Coturnix japonica: one gene and its partners. The protein of the gene in region 2 interacts with the protein of the main gene of each other region in a pairwise test. Links are inferred from orthologs where the notes say so. Each region holds a gene or a part of one and is shown on either strand. Other genes may lie near its edges.

Region 1 (7,225 bases), on a different chromosome or scaffold from region 2:
TCCCCACGTAGCTGTGGCATAAGGCCTCCCTGCATTGGGCATCCCCTTATGCCACTTGTCCCCACTTCCCAGGTGTCAGTGCTGACAGGGATCATCAAGATCAGCCTGAAGACACTGCTGGAGTGTGTGCGGCTGCGGACACTGGGGCGCTTTGGACTGCAGCAGGTGCAGGTGGACAGCCATTACCTACAGCTCTACCTGTGGCGCTTCGCTGCTGATGAGCGTGTGGTGCAGGGGCTGCTGGATGAGGTGGCTGCCAGTGCTGCCCACCGCTGCCTCGACCCTGTCCCTATGGAGCACAGCGTTGTCGAGCTCATCTGTGAGCGTGGGTAGGACCTGAGGGCACCCAGGAAACACCTGGGGACATGAGTTGATGCACAGGTGAGGGGGCACAGGAGTCATCTATGTGACCATGGGGCACAGCAGAGCTGGGGGTATCTCTGGGAGGGGAATGTCTTGGATCCTGCCACAAAGACAGGCTTTTACCTTGTGTATTTAGGGGCATCCCATGTGTTCCCACATATATACAGACATACCGCACCTTGTAAGGTCACCCTGTGTTCCCCTCCCAGCCCCAATTATACCCCACAGTCTCTCCCCACCCCAGTGATCGATGCCAATCCCATGTTGTCCCTGCAGCCCCCATGACGTGTCACATCATTCCATTCCCTTGGTGACATCCCCCTGCACTAGGGACATGCTGCACGCAGCCCATGTGTCACAGTTGAGGACAATAAATTAAATGCATGCAAGTTAAGCCTTGTCCCTGTGTTTGAATGCCTGGGGGTGGGAATGTATGGGGCCCTATGGGTTGGGTGCAGAGGAGCACTTGAACACCTGAGTTCCTGCTAGGTAGTAGGGGGATGAGGGCATACCCAGCCCAGGCACACGTTTATTGGGGTCATGCTGGATTAAGTCACACATTGATCATTCCAAAGTTTATAAATCATTACAGCCTAAACTTTGCAGCTTCCAAACCTCTGATTTATTAAACCTGTATTGATAACCATCTGGATTTGTCAGATATGCCAGGTATTAGTAATGGAGGTAAGACAAAAGTATCCCTTAAGAACTGGCTGCAAGACATGGATGAGACGAGAGATATAGGCATGAACATCAAAATCAGGTGATATGTGGAAATCCAGTTAGAATGGTCTTTGCAGGGCAGGCAGCTGCCAAGGAAAGGTGACAGATGTGATGCTGCAGGAGCTGAACAACAGTGGCATCACCCAGGGGCTGACTGAGCTCTTCCAGGTCTGGGTGCTGCAGGGTCTATATGTGCGGTGGGATGTGTCATCCAGAGCAGCCTGGTGGATGTGCTGTCAGTGAAATACTCATTTTACCTCCAAGACCAGCCAGAATGGTGACAAAACACTGGTTAAAAGTTATCTGGAATGTCTGTTGGGAAGTCCCAAGGATCCCAAAGCAGGGCAGATCTAGAAAGGCGCTGAACAAGTCTGTCAATCACATTGATTTAGTTCAGTAAAACTACGCAAGAACCAAGATCAAGTCCCAGCTTTGGACACAAGATAGTAGAGGATGAAGAAAACAACAACCAGTCCTACAGAAACAAAGCAGAGTAACTTGCGGTTCTCCCTCCCAGAGCGTGTCATGGTGCTGAATCGCTTCATGCTGCCGGTCAGCAGCCCAGTAGCACTCAGAAAATCCGAATCCTAGAGGAGAAACAAAGTGCAAAAAGCAGCATTTCAAACTGGAGAGGCAGCCCATGAGGAGGGTCCAGCTTCCTGCTTAAAGAACAACTGCAGCAGCTGCGCTGTAACTGCCTGTATCTCTGTACCTATCGTGTCTCTCTTATGAGGAACTTCCCTGCCTGCGCTCGTGGCAAAGGCACAGGTAAATACTGCATACCAAGTATCTCTACATAAAGCTAGCACCGTTAATGCCTGCCAGGGCAGGCTAAAAAGCACCAAAACCACGCAGTTTCTTTCCATTAGTTCTCTTTTTTTTCTTTCAGCATGGGGCAGCATACACTTGTAACACCACCAGGTGGCAGCAAACAAGTCTTAAAGCAATTCATTATCATTTCGACTCCACGTCTGTTTTCCTTTCTCATAAACTACCTCCCACTTTTTGCTCACGTTTCTCCTGAAATATCCCTAAATCTTCTCTAATAGAAGCACAATTGCGTGCTGATTCGGGGCTTCTCCTTTAAGATCTCTTGTCTTTACATCTCTCATTCCAACTCTCCACTCTTTTGATTTCTAGGCTGAACAAATATCCAGTTCAGATACTCCAAGGCCATACACTGCTATTAAGGTTCCAAGCTATTAAGCTTCCAAGCTCCCACCTTTGACCAAACTGGTCCCAACATTGAAATTCATGCTTTTTACCCTTCTTTTTTGGTTCCTTACCATGCTATCCAGGTAACGGTTCTGTTCATCAGCATCTTTATCAATATCCAGAGCCAGCTACACAGCATAAGAGAGGAAATTGACGTTAATGAACACCAAGACAACCTGGAACGCATCTAGGCCCACACTAGAGGATGTGGTGGAGGTTTGTTAAGCACAGCCACAAAACAAGGCCTCTCACTCACTGCAGTTTGGGGTTGTGGGAATCCTTTTGCTGTGGAAATAATCTGGGAAAGCTGGCAGAAACTTCCCTATGTTGGACATATGACAACAGCTGACGGACCAGCACTGCCTCCTACTGCTACACGTCAGCCATCGTATGCCCACAGCACTGAGGAAGCCCACACAACTGCGTTGTCCCTGAGACCCTGCAAGCGTCCATAGCAGCGCCAGCAACTCACCGACTTCAGCCTGGTGACTTTGCTGGCCAGGTTGTCTGTCATGCGCTTGTTCTCCACGTCCAGCATATCCTCCATAGCAACCGCATTCTGTCCTGAGGAGAAAAGAAACGCGTCTCATCATCCCGACTGGGGAGCATGGCACATCCCCAAGATGGCGGCGGGGTGCCCCAAGATGGCGGCGGGGCGCCCCCTTTAGCAGCCCCTCAGCGCGCCCCTCACTCCTTCCCCCTCACCTCGCCCCCAGTCCGCCATGGCGGCACACGGCGAAAGGCGGCTCCGCCCGGCAGGAGGAGCTCCGCCTCTGTAAAATGGCCGCTGGGCCTTCGCCTTCCCTGTTGGGTAGTGAGGAGCGGGGAGCTATTACGGGAAGCACCGTGATCTGCTGCGGTAATCCTCGGGTGGGGAGGGGGGGGTGTCCCAGCGCTGTGCTGGGAGGGCATGCATTAAACGTCGGAAAGCAAAGAGGAAAGAAGAGGATTAGAGGGGCAGAGAGGCTGTACGTGGTTCACCCGTCTGCTTTATGGACGCAGCAGTGAGCCGGCTCGCTTGATTTTTGTTTCTTTTTCCCCACCCCCTTTCTCACTGCCTCTCAGTTCTCAAGGATCGAGGTCCCTTTGCACCGCTGTTATCCAGGAGCTCTGGAAGCCTTTCCTCTCTGCTTCCCATCCTGCTGTAGCTGAGCTGTTGGTATCATGGAGCTCAGGACCGTAGTGGCCACGGTGGAAAGCGGGGAGCAAGACGCGGTCCTCAAGGTGCTTCAGATCTACAACCAGGAGGTGAGTGAGCATCACACCTCAGCCTGATGTCACCTGCTGCTGTCAGCAAGCCTGGAAGCAGGTTGGGCCGTGTTATGGGTTCACAGTGCTGCCCAGCTATCCCATCTCCTCTGAGCATCTGTCTCTGCATTATTGCCCTGGAGATGTCATAGACTGCTTTGTTTTGTTACTTGCAAGCTGCTTCTTAATGATGCTTTACTAGGAAGCAGCTAAGAAGCCTCCCTTTATCTTGTTTATGCTGGAAGAAAAGTACATGGGAAGGATTTTCTTTATTATCCAGATTGCAAGTTAAACCCGGTAGGGGAATAATCATGGGCATGAGGAGTAGGAGGAGCCTTGATGCTAGGCAAGGTTTGGAGGTAATAAAACTCACACCTAGGGAGGAGCTGCAGGTAGGATTGTTGTGATTTGTAAGCAAAAGACAATTAGGAGTTGGTGTGAATGGATGCTGGGATTGGATTAGGGTGCCTGATCTGAAAGCTGGCGCATGAAATAATGAGTGTAGAACATGAAAAAGACCGGGTCAGGAAGCTGAAGTGCGAGTGACTCTAACCTTAGATCATCTGCAGGGGTAGTTCCCTTTTGAAACTGTCTGCCAGGGAAATTTCCTTCAGAGGGTTTCCACCAGGCTAGGGCTGGCCCTGCAGATCTGTGACTCATTCTGCACCATTCTGAAGTAGGAGGGAAGCTGGTGGGGAAAACCTGTGCTTATCTTACAAGCATGTGCACTTCCCTTCCTGCACTAACTGTTTCCAGCAGTCGGTTTTGAAACAGCAGGTCCCTTTTAAAAGGTTGGTCTGCAGGATTAGCGTTGCTGGCAGCAGCTGGTGTGCTGGAGAAATTAGGATAGTAAATGGCATTTGTTGTGCAACCGTGTTGAGGCACTAAATCCAATGCTTTGAATTCCTCCAGCTGGTTTCTTTGTCAGCGTGTAGAGCATAGGAAACTTGTGAGGATGTCAGTCATTTTGCTAGCTTGTCTGGGAGAAATGAGCTGAAGAGATTAAACTGATTATAAGCCAACCGACTTCCTTGCATAGTTTTTTTTACTACAAAAGCAGGTGCTGTTATATTCTTCTCTAGGTATATATATATATTTAATTCACTATTAAATATGCAGTCAGTTCCTGGTTGTCGGGAATAGAATACAGCTAAAGCCAAACCCACAGGTGTGTTATGGAAATATTTGTGAATGAGATTACAGGAGCCTGCAAAGAAGCTCTGGAAATGCCTTTGTGCACGAGGTCAGTCTGACTAACGTTCTGACTGACATGAGAAGGTTCACAGATGCAAGGGAAAGCTCCGTTCTGCATAGAGTGGAGCGTTCACCTGTTTTAATTGGCTGTGTGTGAAGAACGTGAGCTGAATAACAGTCCTACTTCAGGATGCTGTAGGAAGAACATAAGGATTTGTTTGCAAGTAGCAAGGAAGTGATGCTTTCTATTAGGAAGGAAAAGAAACAATAACAAAGGGGAGAAGAGCGTACACATAGCTTGGTAGAGTCATTAAGCGTAATCAAGTTTACCCAGGGAAGCTGTGGATACCAGGCCAGGCTGAATGGGGTTTTGGACAACCTGAGCTTGTGGTGTTCATGCCCATGGCAAGGGGTTGGAATTCAGATGATCTTTAAGGTCCCTTAAGACCCAAACTATACTATGAGTTATGGGATATTTGGAATGTATTGAATACCCACCTCACAGCTGCAGTATATAAAATTAAGCTGGTCCATCAGATGGGCACAGCTTTGGCCTGTGACATGTGGTGTCCACCACTGAGCCAGCAGAAGAGAGTATGGGGTGTTCATCGAATGTTTTTCAGGCATGAAAGAGAAGGAAAACAATTCTGACTTGGCAGCATGGGCTGTATCTGGGCTTTTCAAATGAGGTTCGTTCCCTGCTTGTTAAAATGTAGCTGAAGTTGCTGGATACAAACAGTGTTGAACAGAGAAGACAATAATGAAGCAAAGCTCTCAGCAACAGGAAAAACTGTCCTTGTGTCTGGCTCCTACCTATGCTGTTTGTTAAAGAGGTGTGCAGTATTCATAGGTTTTTTAACACTCTTTGCCTCTTTGATTCCCTGTGCTGGTAAAGACTTCTTGAGAAGGCTTACTTGTCTTTATAGAGTGCTTTTCAGAGTTGCTTTCCAAGCTTATTCCCTGTTTGGGAAAGGCAGATTTGTGGATTTTTAAACTCATACTTTCTTTTCTGCTCTACAGAAATCTCAATGCTTTACCTTTGATGATGAGGAACGGGAGGAGAGGAAGGTAGGCGTGCTCTTTGGCTTCTTGTTCTTGTTGTCCTGTAGATGGTGGCTGGGGATAAAAATCAGTATTCTTCCAACATTAGCAATCCCTTTGGGTTTGGTGATGCATATGGCTTCAGCAGCATGCATGAGAAGCATGATCCTGTGTGTGTGTGTGTGTGTGTGTGTGTGTGTGTGTAAATGGTGCAGTCTGCTAAGCAAAGATAACAGCAGCATGCGGGTAAGTGCTTCTGCTGTGAGCGAGCTGCAGGATTTGACCAAAGCTGTCTATTAACAAACCCTTTAAGCTGGAATAATCTGGCACTCAGTGGAAAGAAATACCCCTGTCCATTTCCACTCGTGGCATTTCTCTTGTGCTGGGGCAGGCCTTTGCACGGCTGCACTGCAGATATGCTTGGTAGGATCTGCTTTAGGAAAGAACATTTTTCTTCTATCTCTGTTATTCTCCATCTGGACCAGTTTTGTGGTGGGTCGTGTGTGGAAGCAGGGGATTAATGGTGGAGTGACGTGTTGCTATGTGTAGTTACAACCTAGCTGCACTGGGTTGTGTGAGGCTTTACCTTTCGCTCTTGTACTTTTCCATGTTTGCTATCATGTATGTTATTGTTATCCACAAGGGTTATATCTTCAGCTGTGGTAAATCAGTGTTACTGGAGCTGTCAGTCTGTACCTATGAAGGGGTAGTAGGTCTCCAGACAGCACTGAAATTTATGGGAGGTCCTTTTTATTTGAATCTTCTGAGGTCTTTTCCCCTCCTTTCTTACCACATCACACACAATTCTGAACCCATTAAGTTCTTTTTCCCCTCCCACAGCAGTTCTCTGGTGTCAGCCTCAGCAGCCTGTTTGGAGCACCCAAAGCAGAAGCTTCTCTAGTCTTAATGCTCTGGGTGAGGCTGAACCACTGCTGTTGAACTGAGTGCTGCTTCTCAGTGAAGATATAAGGGACTTTTTTGCACTGTTCTCTTAGCTTATTGCAGCTGTCAGGTAATCCATATTAGCCAAAACCATCCTAACCATGGGTGAAGCTAAAATAAGCAGTAGTTCACTCACTCAGCAGCAGCTGCCTGTTCCTATTCTTCACTTAATTCTGACAGCACTCCCCAGCCATTCTTTGTCTCTTGCTGGTTGTCCTTGCTTGACTTGGGTCAGCATCAGGTGCCAGAAGCAAACGCTTTGAGAGCTGCCTGTTAGAAGGCCTGTATCTAGATGATGCTTTGTATCTAGGTGATGCTCCTAGGTGTTACAGCATGCTACCTTGCGTTGGGGCTGCACTGTGAAGTGTCAGCATGTGTGGCATTCTTTGTTTCTAACCACGCAGAAAATGGCCCAGTTGCTGATCAAGTTTCTGGAGAGAGAGCTCCAGCCATCCTGCCAGGTCACGTGCTTGGAAAGCATCCGCATCCTGTCACGGGA
Region 2 (7,304 bases):
CCTTAAGGAGGTGTGTATGCATCCAATTTAATGGTGTACAGATACATTCCTAATAAATTCAAAGATCTAAGCAGTTGTTTTCCAGGTTTAGATTTGTTATCACATGCAATCCAATGATACTGAAAGTAAAACACACAGCAGCTTGCTTACCTTGGCACACATTGTGCTCACTTTGCTCATACCCAGATGCACACTGAATTTGATGAGTTGGGTTTGGAGGGGCACGGTGAGGATCAGCTGGAGTCCGGCGAATGACGTTGTTTCGACCACTAGTGGATTCAGCTGCTGCTTCTTCTCTCTCATTTACAATAATTTGGGCTGTTCTAGGTAGACAGAGGTATCCTCCATAGTGGTTAACACATTTCATCCCACCTTTACATGCATCTGGGACTATTTCACATTCATCAATATCTGTGGTTAGCAACAACACAAATCATGCTTTTAACAGTAGAATCCTCTGCAACAGCCATTAATAAAACAACACAAAGAGGCATGCAAGCACACTCCTTGTTTGAAACAGGAATGTGGCAATACTGAAATAATTCCAACAGCAAGTTTTTCTTGGGAAATGATTTACTGTACCTTTGCACCGTTGCCTAACAGGATCCCATTCATAGCCATCTGTGCATTGCTACAGATAAAAGAAGAAAGAAAATGTTGGTAAAAAATATTGTGCTATACAGGATTCTTTATTTTGGAAAAATAAGCACATTTCAATGAACTCCAAGCTCTACACTGGGAGAAATGCAATGTTTCTATACCTTGGAAAGCTAGAAAAATGGCTATTAGTAGAGAACTACTAGGCAGGCACAAGAAAAAGCATGTACAGATAGAGGCTTTATCTTAGGAAGGTCCCCATATTGTTTGCAGAGTAGACAAGGCTTTAATGAGAATGGGGGAAGCATCACTTTCTTCTTGTCTTCTTGCTATTTTGTTTTAAAGCATCTGCTTTAAAGCATCTGCTTTAAAACAATATATCAGAATAGATATTTGTTCAATAGAAACAACTGACCCAGCTGACCAGGATGGAAAAAATCTTCTCAAAAAAGAAAAAGTAAGTTTTTCTTCTTTGATCTCATACATTGCCTTCCAAGAAGTGAACGTCTTTTATTCCAGGCATAATTATGCCAGAGGGATTAATGGACCTCAGTACCCCTGTATATCATCTTTTCTCCCATTAGCACGGGGAAAGATCCCATGACAGCTGGAAATTCATTCACATGCACTTTAACCATGTGACTCCAGGAACTGCAGTCTAGGAAGAACAATTTATATTGTGAGACGTACGATAACCGGTTAGAGTTTATAGCAGCAGGACTACTTATATAAATAAAACTTGACAGAATTCAAACAAGACTGAACTCAGCAACTATTCATATCAATGCAGACTGGTAACATCAGGAAGAATTTTAAATATTCTGCCTTGCAGTTTAAGAAAATACCTTGGTTAACCCTCTGCCCAAAAGCGCTGAAGTGTCTAGAATGCAGTAAATTTTAATCACCAATTACATTTCTAGAAATTACTTAGTTAAGCATCACAATGTTGCCAGCTACTGCAGACATTTAAAACATCAATGAATCAACTGCTCTGCACTATGCAGGTGCATATGCACCCTGCACTGCTTAGCGTGTTATTTTAATGGTCTTATAGAAAAAAAGAACTGAGTCAATTAATGTAACTAGCCAGAGTCCAGCAAGCTAAGTGTTACTGCAACTCCTCTGCCATATAGAACCGTGTAGGTGACAAATTTAATCTTCTGGTGCTGAGATTCACTGGTTCCATGTACTATCCTCAAGCTATTTTGAGAAACTTGTTATAGACACTGACTCAGCAACAGGACTGAAAATATGTTCTTCATTCACAGGTGACGCTAGCCATCTGCCAGATCTGGCAGCAACTTGGAAGTAAAAGCCTACAATATTAGGAAGGGGTAAGCAGACAGTAAATTGCGTATTACAATTCTCTATCTCTAAAGGAATGACTACATACTGAGTTGACAACACCAAAGTTACTGTAGCTATGAAAACCCAAACCCAAAGGAAAACAGCTAATTCATGTATCTACTGAATCATCCAGTTCCTGTTGATGCACAACAGGAGTGCAGTCTATTTAATAGGAAGGAGCCAAGTCCAACTACTACTGCAGCCGAAGGGAGTTTCACAATAGAAGGGGATTTGGTCCTAAATGAATATAATGTACGTATGAGAAACAGTAGCATCCTAAGGGTAAAACTTCCAACAGTAAATTTTCATTGTTAAATAATTTTGTATGATTAAAAGCCTAATGATCACTGAGGCACCTGAATGCTATGACCTCTTTGAAAACATAATACCAGAATCCAAGTCACACAGGCATGCCAGAAATCTACTGGTACAAAAAGAACCATTTACACTTACCACAAAAATGCTATTTTTAATGTGTAACAAATGGTAAAAAAGAAGGGGGCAGTATCCTTCTATTAGTGTAAATGTTCAAAATGTACTTAATTCATCTGTTTCCACTTAGGGGGACTTAAAAAGACCCCAGAAGCCTCTAAACAGAAGTCCTCCCAACCACCTATTGCTTCTACAGCCCAGTCTCCTATAGCAAGGGTCCAGCTCTGCAACCTTTACTTGCCTGAGCCATCCCACTGACTTCAGTAGGATTACTTGCAGAAAACACAATCTCAGCCTTTGGCTGTGGCTCTGTAGCTTTCTGTATGTGTGCAGAATTTTCTGCTTGTGTGGCATTGCGCTGATGTCTGTATACATATTCCGAGGTCCACCCATATGAAGCAAGTTGCAAGGATTACAGCTGTAATCAGATGTAAAAATGCGGGTTTTTTTTTTTTTACCAGCCCAAGCCGATGTAATTGCCACTCCTCCTATGACATGCACTATTGAAGCCAAGGAGCGAGCACAGCAAGTTTAGAACCATGAATTTCCAAAGAGGACTTTAAACTGCTTATGCTGTCACCTGGCTGTAAGGAGAATCTGCTTTCAGTTTTCCTGTAGACACTGATCAAGGTGGGAAGAAAAAATAAATAAATCACTGGTCTGAAGCAGCTCGGCAGCTAACATTCATGCAACCACCCCAGGAGCTAAATGCTTCATTAAGAGCAGTGCATTTTTTTTTAAGTACTTGCATGTTGTTATAAGCAGTTTGAAACATCCAAAGGAAAACACAGAAGAATGTTTGACCTAATTATCCATCAAGTTCCAAGTACTTCAAACGAGGGTCCCAGGGACCTTTTCTCGAGGAAGGCGGATACAAAAGCTAAGCCTCATAGTTCCTCTCAGTTCATCAGGCACAGCACACAGATAAACTTTTCAGAACAGGGAGCTGCAGCCCATTTTGCTCAGCCTTGCAAACTTCAGCATTTCAACTACCCCTTCGGCATAGGAACAGCTTATTTTAGGCTAGCACTCAAACTCAAACAACTTTGCATTACATGCAACGCGTTGGCAAGAAGTTTGGCTTTTCTTAAGGATCATTTAGAAAAGAATCCCTGCAAAGCAGCAATCATCTCCCGCTCTATTAAACCTTACCGTGTACGTTATGGTTTCCTCAGTTTCCTGTGAATGTACTGTAATAAGAATGAGAGCAGCCAAGAACATAGCTGTCAACATCATGAACCTGGAAGGCAAGAAAAACAAATAAACCAGTGGTATTTTTAGCGTTCCTTTGCTAGAAAACTCAGTGTCCAGCGCGCCGCGTGTCCTACCTGGACACCGCGGCCAGCACGCAGCCCCTTCCCGAGCGGCAGCTGTGGGGAACCTGATCCAGCTGAAAAACAGTCACAGCGATAATTACAATTAATAACAAACCGCCTTTAAAACGACACAGCGCTTAATGGCACGCCGGGCGAGGAGCACGCAGCTCGGCACCCTCGCCAGCCCGTATCTCGGCTGCTAAAGCGATTTCTCCAGGGAGCCGCCGACGGTCGGAGGGGACCCCGGGGCGGCACCGACGGTCACCGCCGCGCCGGGCACCTGCCGAGCTGTGTCCGCCCTGCCCCAAGGGGCAGCGGGGCGCATCCATCCCCCCGCCATCCCGCTCTTACCTGCGGCGGGGCCGGGGCGGCTGCTCCCGTTGGCACAGCTACCGCGGTGGCTCGGCCCCGTCCGTCCGCTGGCTCCGCTGCGGTACCGGCACCCACCGCCCCCCCGGACCTTCAGCTAAATAGAAACGGTCCCGGCTCCTACCGGGGCCCCCGGACGCCCCCTACCGAACCCTCAGCGGCCGGAGCCCTGCTGCTGGGCGGGGCGGGGCGGGGCGGCAGTGGATCCAGGGCGGCACTGGATCCAGGGCACGGCCCTTCGCCGCTCTTCGCGCCCGCTGTCCCGCCCAGACGCCGCCGGCCGAAGCGCCCTGAGGCGGAGCAGGTGCGGGGCTGCGCCGCCATGTTGCGGGCAGGAGGGACGGGGCCGCGTCCTGAGGGAGCGGAACGAGCCCTCCCGCCCCGGTAGCCGCAGCCGGTCCGCAGGCACCAGCTCCATCCCGCCGGGTGTGTTCTTGCCCGGTGTTCTCGCTCGATGTCCCAGCAGACAGAGCCGTGGAGGGCACGGTGAGGAGCGCGCCGCAGGCTTCGGCTCCCGGCGCGAGGCGGGCAGCTGCCGGGCGTTGCCTGGCTGCCGTCCCCCTGCTCCCGCCCTCCCGGAGCTGAGGAGAAGCCGGGGCGGGTGAAGCCGAACTGCAGGAGCGCAGAACGTGCTGAGCTGGAAGGGGCCCGCGAGGGTCAGCGAGTCCGACCCCGGCTCCAGACAGCACCCAAACCCTGCGCCTGACAGCGGTGTCCCTCGGGGCCGTGCCCGCTGCCCTGGGGCCTGTACCGCGCTCACCGGCCTCTGGGGCACAGCCCTTCACAGAATGACCCGGGTTGGAAGGGACCTCAAGGATCATGTAGTTCCAACCCCCTGCCTAGAAGGGCACCAAACATACACCTTTACTAGATCAGGTTGCCCAGGGCCCTGTCCAACCCGCCCCCTCCTTCGTGCAAGTTCCCTGCAGCGGGACTGAGCAGAATCATGGAATCGTTAGGGTTGAAAAAGACTGCTCCATCCCCACCGTACCACTAAACCCTCAGTGCCACATCCACCCTCTTTATTGAACACCTCCAGGGATGGTGGTGACCTCCATGGCCAGCCTGTGCCAGTAATGAAGAAAACAGCAGGGAAAAAAAAACGGCCTGAGGAAGGCAGCAAATGTGCTGTGCGTCCCAACATCTGCAGTATAGGAGCCCAAATAGCGCACGAGTGGGAAACCTAGAGCAACACTCACTTGACAGTGCTACTGATGGAAGCAGCCCTCTGAGGCTGGCCCCTAATTACTTGTTTCTGGCTCCTTCTGCAAATGATGCACTCTATTCCCCGTGGCTTTCGTGAACTCTGTCACGTCTCAGCCTTTGCTTCCTATCAAAACCACGGGTTTTCATACTTCCTTTAACATGCTGTTTTTATGACTGCGTGTTTGTGTTTTGTTTTCCTGGCAGGGCTTGTTGCCACTCCCTTTTGTCCTCAGAAACCCAAGGATAGGTAGGCTGAAGGAAGACTGTGTGTGGTCAAAATGTCACTGCACTCCAGCTAATTCTGGCTGCTGGAACTGTCCCTGGGGGCACTAGACAGCTGGACATAATTTAGAGCAGATTGATATTAGAGACTAGCCTAAAAATACGGAAAACAAAATTGCACTTTAATCTCTTCTACTCCCAGATCTGACCCCCTTTTTCCTGTTTCAAATGCAGAGAAAATCAAGCTCACAGCAAGTTTAAGCAACTTGTATTCGACAGCTCAAGAGACTATCAGTGTCAATTTAAGATGATTTCTTTTCCCCAGTATGTCATATCAAGTAACACTGGCGCTGTCTGAACTAAGAGCTGGGATGGTGGAGATGTTATTTTCATGTTGGACTCACAGGAATTTTAGCACATAAATTATTTTGATAACATGGCAGACTGCCTTTCTGCCACACTTCCTGCAAATGTCAGATATTTTTTTTCCATGTTTCAACCCATAAATGGCACCGTGCTGGTGAAGGATAAATTGTGAACAATTATATGCCTGACTTTATAGCTGATTAAATATGACAAATGTCGAGCTTTTATTTGAGGTAAGATTTTACAAGTTGATCTTTGAGGGAGGTGAGGTGAGCACATCGCTTATGATGTAGGGTGTAACTTTAGCGTGAACTTAATTTGCTAGCAAATTGCTTTCATGTTTTAATAGAAAGCTGATGGAGGTAAACCTGTATTTTCTCGTGTATGGGGGATGTATGATTTCTGTTGTGCCGAGGCCTTTGGCTAACTGGACCAACTTGTAATTTCACATATAGTTCTCTAGCAATGCTCTGTGAGGATATTGAAATACAATGTTGTTGCCATTTCTTATTTTTAACTTTTACTGAAAGCCAAAGCGTGCGGTTTGCATGCAGTTTGTCAGGCAATCCATTTTGCTTCTGCAATTTACAGAGATGTGATCACATATTTTGTATGCTTCTGTAAAGTCCAGTGGAAGTGCGGCTGCTGGGTGTGGTATTGTGTTCTCATCACAGACCTCTGACATGAAAAGAAAATGTGAGAGTGAGAGGGTGAGTAGATGGGGAAGGAGCCCCTGCAGAAAGCTATCTATCTCTTTCATTGCTCCAGTTGTACAGCCACACCAAATCAGGGAACTGATTTCAAGAGTCATAAATCCAGGCCTTAGTTTGCACCACAATTACTGGGAAGTTTTATTTTTCTAAGCAATTTTATCTGGAATTTGGATAGTCTTCCCACTTGTGCTTGTATGGGTACTCGTTCAATTGTGTTCTTTTTCAGAGCAGTTCTTTTCCATTGCTGTGCCTTCCAGTGATTTTCCTTCTCTTGTTCTTTTCTTCTTTGCTCATGCCACATAAGAGAAGCATCACTGGGAGACGTATACTGTAGATGTGTCGTTTCTGTAATATCAAAACTTCCCTTTTCTGGAGAACCAGGAGTGCTGCATACAGCAGCTTAAAGCTGACAGTGTATGAGGTTTCAACCAGTTTGGGTAAAGTAAGGGCTGTCTAGAAGCTTTCCACAGAACTATAATCCATCTGAGGAAAAAAACAGCTTTCTTGATATTTGAAATGTTAACTGGAATGTATAGTTTCCTTTTGATTAAACTATGTTAGTGCAGTTCCTTGCTCTGGCTAAGAGGCAAAATAGAAAAGCCAGAATTCAGATCCAGTATTACCCAGAATATGTTGGAGTCAGTTTCATATCTAGCTTTGTCTTCCTGAGAAGCTTTGTGCAAGTCACTTAATATGTTTCTTGGTGTACTCTTGGTCTACGAAATGGAGCAAATAT
Region 3 (7,424 bases), on a different chromosome or scaffold from region 2:
GCTATAAATATCAATTCTGATTCCAAAAGTGCTTCAAATACGATTCCCCACATCTCAGCGGGGAGGGAGCCACTTTCACAAGATCACACACAATTGGATCAGAGCTGCAGGGCAGCCTGCTCAGTTACCAGCATCTGCAGAGGGCAGCCGCGCTATCTCACCTGTCCTGCAATTTCTGCCCATGCTTTGCATTAAACGTTCATGTTTCCAGCTTTCAAAGGCTGGGTACCATCAGATGTTGGGCACACTGTCCACCCAGTGACGGTCTCAGACCCCAAACCCAGTCAGGCACAGCGGGTTATGGCTGTACAGCCTGAATGGAGGCACCTGGCACCTTCCAGCAGCCCCAAGGATGGGGGCTTCATACACACATATTCAGAGATCTAAGCACATAATTGAGTTATTACATTGCACAATCATAAAAAAAGCCTAATTTCTCCTTGGATCACTCCTAAGTGTGTCACCATGGCTCCTCAGTAAAAAAACAATACAGACGGATACAATCAGCTTTGAGGAAGATGGGTTGATTTTTGCTCTGCAAAGAAATGATCTCCTGAGGACAGAATAGAAATGCAGCTGGAGCTCTGTCAAGTCTGTAAAACAGAGCGAGGAGATGCCTGGGTCAGCTTCACACGCAGCCTTTTCATTGCAGCTGTAAGAACACATCAGAGAACCGGGATGTGGAACAAGCAGAGCACACTGCTGGGCTCAGCGCTGGGTAAGCACAGCTTTAAATCCTGCAGTACAGTGGGATCCTCTCTGCAATACTTTGGCTCTCCAAAAGCAGTGAGAATGTTTGTAAGAGTATTCTGCATATTAACAAAAAGGACTTTCTACACACATAATAATGAAAGCGCCCTTAGGCTGCCTTGCCAGAACAACGTGATCAGACTTCAGCCTCTGAAAAGCAAAGAATCGCACCCACAACACACAGCAAAACCTGATGCAACAGCAGCAACGCCTGGGAATGAGGCTGGGGGAGCAGCAAACAGTTAAAGCTGTGCTCAAAGCCTCAGCTCCAGCATCACCGATTCTGCAAGTGAAACCCAAAACCAGAGAGAAGAAAAAACCCTGACCCAAAAAGCAACCCGCAGAGCGCTCCGGCTTTCAATGTGGGTCAGTGCAGGTGGCCTCACGGTCTCCTTCACAGCACAGAAGGAACCCCCAAAGCTTTAAACAGGTGTGAGGAAGGAGCAGCCCCACACTCCCCGTGGTGTGTCCCTCTGGGTGTGCATTGCCCCTTAAGCTATGGACTGGAAGCAGCACTGAACGAACCGACGAGCGGAAGCAGTTTGTCGGACCACTTACTGATATGCAGCAGAAGCGTACGTACACCTCAGGGGTTAAGCATGCCTCATTTCAGTGCTGATTTTTAAAGGCCGTGTCAGAGGTGCAGCAGAAGGTTACCTTCTTGCCACGGGGAATGGCAGCAGGCTGGCAGCATGCGTGGCAGTGGCTTCCCGGACTTCATGGGGGCAGTGATTGCTTTGTCTCAGAAGAAATCCTATGGGGCAGGTAAAGGGGGGTTGGTAACGCGGCTGCATTGCAGGAAGGAGGCTCAGCAGCCACAGTGCCACTCCTGATCTCAGCCCGAGCTCTTCCCTAGCAAAACCACCAAACGTGGACCTGCAGCACCCTGTGCTCTGCCCTCCTCACCATCCCGCCTGCCTGGGAACATGAAGGACCTCCAAGATGCTCCAGGTAAAGGTGTGAGCGGAGCAGAGGCAGCTCACTCACAAAGCACAGGAAGCTCAGAGATGAAATGCCAGCTCTGTCCAAGGAGAGGATCTCCATGAAATGGAAATAGCTCAGATTAATGCAAGAACCTGGAAAACACCTCCAGCCGACAGACACGGCACCGGATGCCTCCTGACTATCCCCAGTGCCTGGAAGCACTGTGCCTATGGGATGTCAGCACCTCCAGCCCTGCAGCCACAGCAGCCAGAGCATGAATGAAAGCAAGGAAAAGGAAGCTGGTGTAGATCCTGAATCACGGCAGTGAGGAACCTCATATTCCAAGGTGCAAAAATCCCCGTTTGCAACGTCTGTTCAGGGTGCTGTGTAACACAATCCCACCATCTACCCCCTTCACTGCTTCATATCACACAGTACATTGTCTGAGGATCAGCGTTACATCACTGTGTGGCCTTTCATCCCAATCCCAAACAATGCTGATTTTTCTTTAGAAACACTGAACAGCTCCAGAATTACAAAGGTACTTTCAGGCTACTTTAAGGCTACTTTTAGACACCATTTTACACTCCCCAAACCCCCAGTTCTCAATATACCTGAAGCAAGCAAAAAGCACCCAGCCTTCTTCCAATGTGACACCTCACAGAGCTGCAGCTCACTATGAGCAAACTCCAAGTTAATGGAGAAGCTCATAAATCCTTGTTAGACCGCTCTGCAAACAAAGCTGGGCAAAGGGGGCTGAGAACGCTGCTCCTTCTTTGGGAATGAACACACTCCTCAGGTCTCATGTCACTGAAGGCATTAGCACAGAGCTGTGAGCATCAGCTGGCTAAACGCTTTTATTAATGAAAAACATTAAACTGATGGCAAATCGGATTATAAAACTGATTTATTTAGATCGAGGTGCCCACAAATGATGCCAAGTTACCCGTGACGACGTACCTCAGCTATCTGCAGAACAGGAGACAGCAATTCTTAAGAATTATTTCCCACATTAAAGGAGGAACTAAAAAAGCCTCGAGCGCTGCGACAATTATGGCAATATTCAGCAGTATAAAGACCTGAGGAATCATTTGGAAGCAGGATGACAAACGGCAGCGCACGGAGCTGGTTCAATGTGCTGCTATCCCTGTGCTGGCACCACCTGCTCAGCACCGCACGCATATTAAGCTCCAAGCGGCAGCCAAGATTTGAAGCTGTTCCTGTTTGAAGCCGGCTGTGGGCTCTGCAGGTGGCACTGAAATACAGGAACAAAACTCACCAACCCCTATGAGAGGTCAGAAAGCTGACATGGCTCTATTGCAGCGCTGGGTGCGAGGATGGCACCTCCAAGCTGCACATCCAGGGGTTAAAGCTCACTGATTTCACATGTTTTAGATATGGAAATGTCGATGCATAACCACAACACGACGGCCTCTTCCTAAAATTGCTGTACTTATTAAAAACAGCTGTTGACTACATTCCTAATTAGTACTTCAACCTTGTTATGGTGCCTATACTCAGCCCCAGCAGGGTACAGTGCACATCCCCACAGCCCGTGGAATGCTCAGGCTCTGCTTTTAGGCTCCAGCTGTCCCGCTTATCTGGGAAAAACAACCCTCCCGAGCCACAAGGTCAGTCTGCAGAATAGTCTGTATGAAATGCTGAAGGCTCCGATTTTATTGCCAGGTATCAGAGGCAGCTGAGCCCACCCCGGCAGCTGCACGGGGAGGGAGATGGGGAGGAATGAGAGCGGGCAGGCGATTGGACAGCGGCGATGGGGAAGGAGAAGGCAGCTCCGGGCACAGAACAAAGGCTGCCATTCCCATTCACTACTGAGGATCAGCAGCACCACGGAACGAGCTCTGGACGTGTTACCGAGTGGAAAAGCACAGATCGCAGCCCACGATCTGGCCGCTCAGCTCGGACCCCTCCCCCAAGGGATGACAGCAGCCAACCTCCCTGTACAACGAACCTTCGGCTCCCGGTGCCCTATAGCTCATATCACACACAGCCCAGCGCTTCATACAGAGCCGTTCCCAGCACTCGGTACCGCGCTGCCGCCACATTCCATCCCCACCCCCCGCTCCGCTCGGTACCTGCGCTGAGGAGCTGCATGGCGTGAGTGAAGGACGGGTCCAGGCTGTCCTTCTCGGCCATCAGCTCGGGCAGGTATTTGTTCTCGGGCTCCATCTTGTTGTTTCCCCCTGTCAGCAGCGGGGCGGGGGAGGCGGCGGCGGGGCCTTGCGAGCCAGAGGAGCCTGCCGCCCCTCCGCCGGTCAGCAGCGGCTGCGGCTGCTGGGCCCCACGGCCCCCCCCGCCCCGGGGAGACCGCCGCGGGTTGGGCCCCCCTTGGCGGGATCCCCCGGGTCCCCCCGGCCCGCGGCCCATGCGGGCGTTGGACTCATCGCGGCGCTGCATGCGGGCACGGAGCGGGACGGGCCCGAACGGCGCTGCCACCCCGAGCAGCCGCAGCGACGGGACCGGAAGTGGGAGACCGGAAGTACCGCCCCATCCCTCACAGCGCCCCCACACAGCGCTTCCCGCGCGACCACCCCACGCGCTTCTGCGCATGCGCTGTCGCGCAGCCCCTCGGCTTCACAGGGCGCATGCGCGGCGTGAGAAGGAAGCATTCTCCTTGTGCGCATGCGCAGTGCCGGGCGCGCGATTGGGAGAGCAGCACGTGCGCGGCGCTGTGGCGCCAGGCTCAAGGAGCTTTACGCATGCGCACTGCGGGTCCGACATGGCGGTGCGGGGAGGTGCGATGCGGGACCGGGACCTGGGATATGGGCCTCATGTCTTAGTGCTGCTCTGCCCGGAGCACTGTGTGCTGTGGGCTGGCTGCAGCAATAGGCTTTTATAGGCTGAATATAGGAGCTGCTCTGCTTTAGGGCCATCCCTGCTCCCAGCATTAACAGGAGCACCGGATGTGGATGCGATCACATCCCCATTGCTCCCTGCTGACACAACGTGTTGTTAATCACTGAGCTCTGACACACAGCGTTCGTTCAGCTACAGAACGGACCTGCTGGGCTGCACAGCTCCGTGCTGCGCTGTGCACACGGACGGGAGGGGCCCCGCTGCTGCTTCCTGCGGGCAGAGCACACAGCAGCTCTTGTTCCAGCTGCAGGGCGGGCGCTCCGGGCCCGAACTAACGGGGCACGTGGTTGAGACCGCATCCCTGCCCGGGGCTGTGGCCGGGGCTCGCTGTCTGTCCGTGCTGTCTAACCGGAGCTGCCGTATCAGGACAGGAGGGGATGGGGGGGTTACAGGAGGGCTGTTCCATCGCCCCTCTGCGGGGGGGTGCGCACGTGGTGCGGGCGGACCGGTCCAAGTGCGGCGGGGGGAGGCGGCGGTTAGGGGGAGAGTCGGGCCGTACCAATGCCGGCTGCGTGGGGAGGGTGCGGGGAGCTCCGGCTGCGCAGGGATGAGAGCGGCGGCTCCTCGCGGCTCGGGGACGGGGCTCAACCCGCATCTCGTGTGGCGGAAAACGGCTGCGAGGCTGCGCCGCTCGCACGGCACAGACAGACACGGGATCCCCCCGCGAGGGCACCGAGTGGGCGCTTCCACGCGGGGGGATTGAGGCGGAGCGGGCCGTACCACTGCCGGTTGCGGGGGTGCGTCGCGCCGTGCCAATCAGCGCCGTGCGGGCCGTACCACGGGGCAGGGCGGGGGGGGAGCGGCCTGTGCAGTGTGAGCCGTGTGGCGGCGGGGCTGTGCGCTGTGTCCGCCGCTCGGGCCGCACCGGGGGTCGTTCAGCCTCAGCCCCGTCACGGGCCCCGCCGCTCCCCAACGCCGCCGCCGCCCCTTCCTGCCCCCATCGCGCCCCCCGGCCCGCGGTGTGGGAGGCGCCGGGTCCGCTCGGAAGAACGGCGCCGCGCTCAATGCCCGGGGTGAGGAACCGGGGGGGGCCGGGGTGAGGAGGAGGCCGGGGGAGAACCGAGAGCAGCCCCGGGGCGGGCATGGACCGGGGGGGGCTCTGAGGGTCCGGTGGGGCTGCGGGGGGCCTCGAGGAACGCGGCCTTTGTGCTCCGTGGGACCCCGCCCGGCCCGGGGGGGTTCGGTGTAACGGGGGCTGCGGCCTGGGGGGCCTCGGCGGCGTGCGGGGCTGTGCTGCCCGGACTGCGCCTCGGCCGGTACGTGCGGCCCTTCCTGCCGGTGCTTTGCGGGCCGTGGAGCACGGAGGTGTGTGGGGCTGCGTGTGGGGCTGCGGGGCGGCCCTTCCCCGTTCCCAGCACTGTGCGGATGGGTCGGGGGGGGATATCAGCCGTTACCGGAGTGTTGGGGGGGCTCTGGGTGAGGGTAACCCGACCTGTGCTCAGGGGGTGCTCGGTATCTGTGGGGCGATGTTTATTTGGGGGTGGGGGTGTTGGTGGATGGGGTCTTAGCGTGGGACGGGAGCGTCCCAGGGGTGTGGGGTTTGTGTTCACTTTTGTGTTTGTGCAGTGGTGGGAGAGGGAAGGAGGCCCCAGATGGTGGCGGAAGGGGCTGCCCTGTGCTGCCCTGTGCTGCCCTGTGCTTGGCCTGGAGGTGGGGTGTAAAGGACGAGGAGATTTTCCGGGATCCGGGCTGGAAGTGGAGAGGAGAAAACTGGGAGCGGTGCTGGGGGGGTGCCCTGCAGCTGGGGGTGGAGCTGGGGAGGAAAGGTGGCCAGGATGTAGTGGCTTTCCTGGGGCCTGGCAGGGGGCAGGACCTGCTGTGTAATAAAGGGACAGCACTGCGAGGCCCGGGGAGGGGGAGCAGGGAGTGCTGAGGGTGACTGCGGGATGCTCTGAACGCTGTGCTGCAGGGTCTGCTGTAGGGACACGCTTTGGGGGGGGAGGAAGCGGTTGTGGGGGTGTCAGCACGTGGGGACATGGCAGGGTGCTCCCTGCTGGGCGGTGGCTGTGGCTCGTTGGCGTGGCTGGCCGAGCTGTGTCCTCCCGGGGCAGCTGTGTGTTCATTGCCTGCAGCGTGAGGAGGCAGAAAGTTGGCTTTGAAAGGCTGCTGTATAAATGGAAACCGGCTTCAAAACTCCCCAAATGAGCCAGTCAGGTTCTGACTCAGAGCTGCAGTTAGTATTTAAAGAAGAAAAAAAAAAAAGATAAAACCACCACTGGCATCAGCCAAAAAACTCTATCTTCTTATGACTCAACGTATAGAGATACTTCGGTTTAGTGAACTCAGTTATTGGAAAGAAAAGATCAGCCTTAACTCTGAGTTAAAGTAGCAGGCGGTGGATGCTCTGAGGATGCAGCCCTTGTCCTGTGCTGTTCCCTGCACTGCATCCCTGCAGGGCTGAGCTGTGGGTGCAGCTGTGACGCCGCACTTTGCCCCATGAGCAGCACGGTGCTGGCTGCCCTTGGTGCTGGCTGGCCTTGGCCCGGGGCCGGCTGGGCCCTGCCTGCCCTTGGCTGCCAGGCACAGCTGAAGGCAGCTCCTGGGATGCTGCTGTGCGAGCAGAGCAGTGCTGTGAGCGGCACAGAGCGTGGATTTTGATAATATCTTTGGAGAAGACTTGTCAGCGATACACCCTGCTGAGCCAGCAGCGCAGCACGGGGCCGGCTGCTGGGCTCGGGTTAATGAGCAGCGTGTTTGCCCATTAGAGAGCTGGAGGTGAACGGCTCTGTTGAGTGGAGCCATGGGCTGAGGGGTGGGTTGGCTCCTTGTCACACATGGGGCAGGCTGGTGCCTACATAGGGCAGATCTATGTACCATCCCATGTACCATATGTATAGATCTATGTACCATCCTGTGGCCCTGGGCTAGTTGTG

Evidence for each region.
Region 1: the proteins of EFEMP1 (region 2) and RIC8A interact in binary tests that used the Homo sapiens proteins (3 or more experiments, as listed by UniProt). The link is inferred for Coturnix japonica from reciprocal best matches to the Homo sapiens genes EFEMP1 and RIC8A.
Region 3: the proteins of EFEMP1 (region 2) and KHDRBS1 interact in a two-hybrid assay, tested with the Homo sapiens proteins (2 studies listed by BioGRID and IntAct). The link is inferred for Coturnix japonica from reciprocal best matches to the Homo sapiens genes EFEMP1 and KHDRBS1.

What each region holds. Positions count from the first base shown.
Region 1 is NC_029520.1:1,399,199-1,406,423, reverse strand, and holds the start of RIC8A (synembryn-A), read left to right. Parts: upstream 1-3,044; 5' UTR 3,045-3,160; intron 3,161-3,178; exon of another isoform or gene 3,179-3,269; intron 3,270-3,366; 5' UTR 3,367-3,465; coding exon 3,466-3,549; intron 3,550-5,763; coding exon 5,764-5,811; intron 5,812-7,130; coding exon 7,131-7,225. Other genes in the region: VPS51 (vacuolar protein sorting-associated protein 51 homolog), read left to right, coding at 73-333; BET1L (BET1-like protein), read right to left, coding at 1,506-1,673, 2,373-2,429, 2,774-2,865, 3,007-3,025.
Region 2 is NC_029518.1:7,140,508-7,147,811, reverse strand, and holds the start of EFEMP1 (EGF-containing fibulin-like extracellular matrix protein 1), read right to left. Parts: upstream 4,153-7,304; 5' UTR 4,044-4,152; intron 3,767-4,043; 5' UTR 3,705-3,766; intron 3,617-3,704; 5' UTR 3,613-3,616; coding exon 3,529-3,612; intron 632-3,528; coding exon 583-631; intron 412-582; coding exon 151-411; intron 1-150. UniProt on the Homo sapiens protein: Binds EGFR, the EGF receptor, inducing EGFR autophosphorylation and the activation of downstream signaling pathways. May play a role in cell adhesion and migration. May function as a negative regulator of chondrocyte differentiation.
Region 3 is NC_029538.1:4,464,191-4,471,614, reverse strand, and holds the start of KHDRBS1 (KH domain-containing, RNA-binding, signal transduction-associated protein 1), read right to left. Parts: upstream 4,182-7,424; 5' UTR 4,093-4,181; coding exon 3,771-4,092; intron 1,505-3,770; exon of another isoform or gene 1,472-1,504; coding exon of another isoform or gene 1,408-1,471; intron 1-1,407. Other genes in the region: PTP4A2 (protein tyrosine phosphatase type IVA 2), read left to right, coding at 5,053-5,564. UniProt on the Homo sapiens protein: Recruited and tyrosine phosphorylated by several receptor systems, for example the T-cell, leptin and insulin receptors. Once phosphorylated, functions as an adapter protein in signal transduction cascades by binding to SH2 and SH3 domain-containing proteins.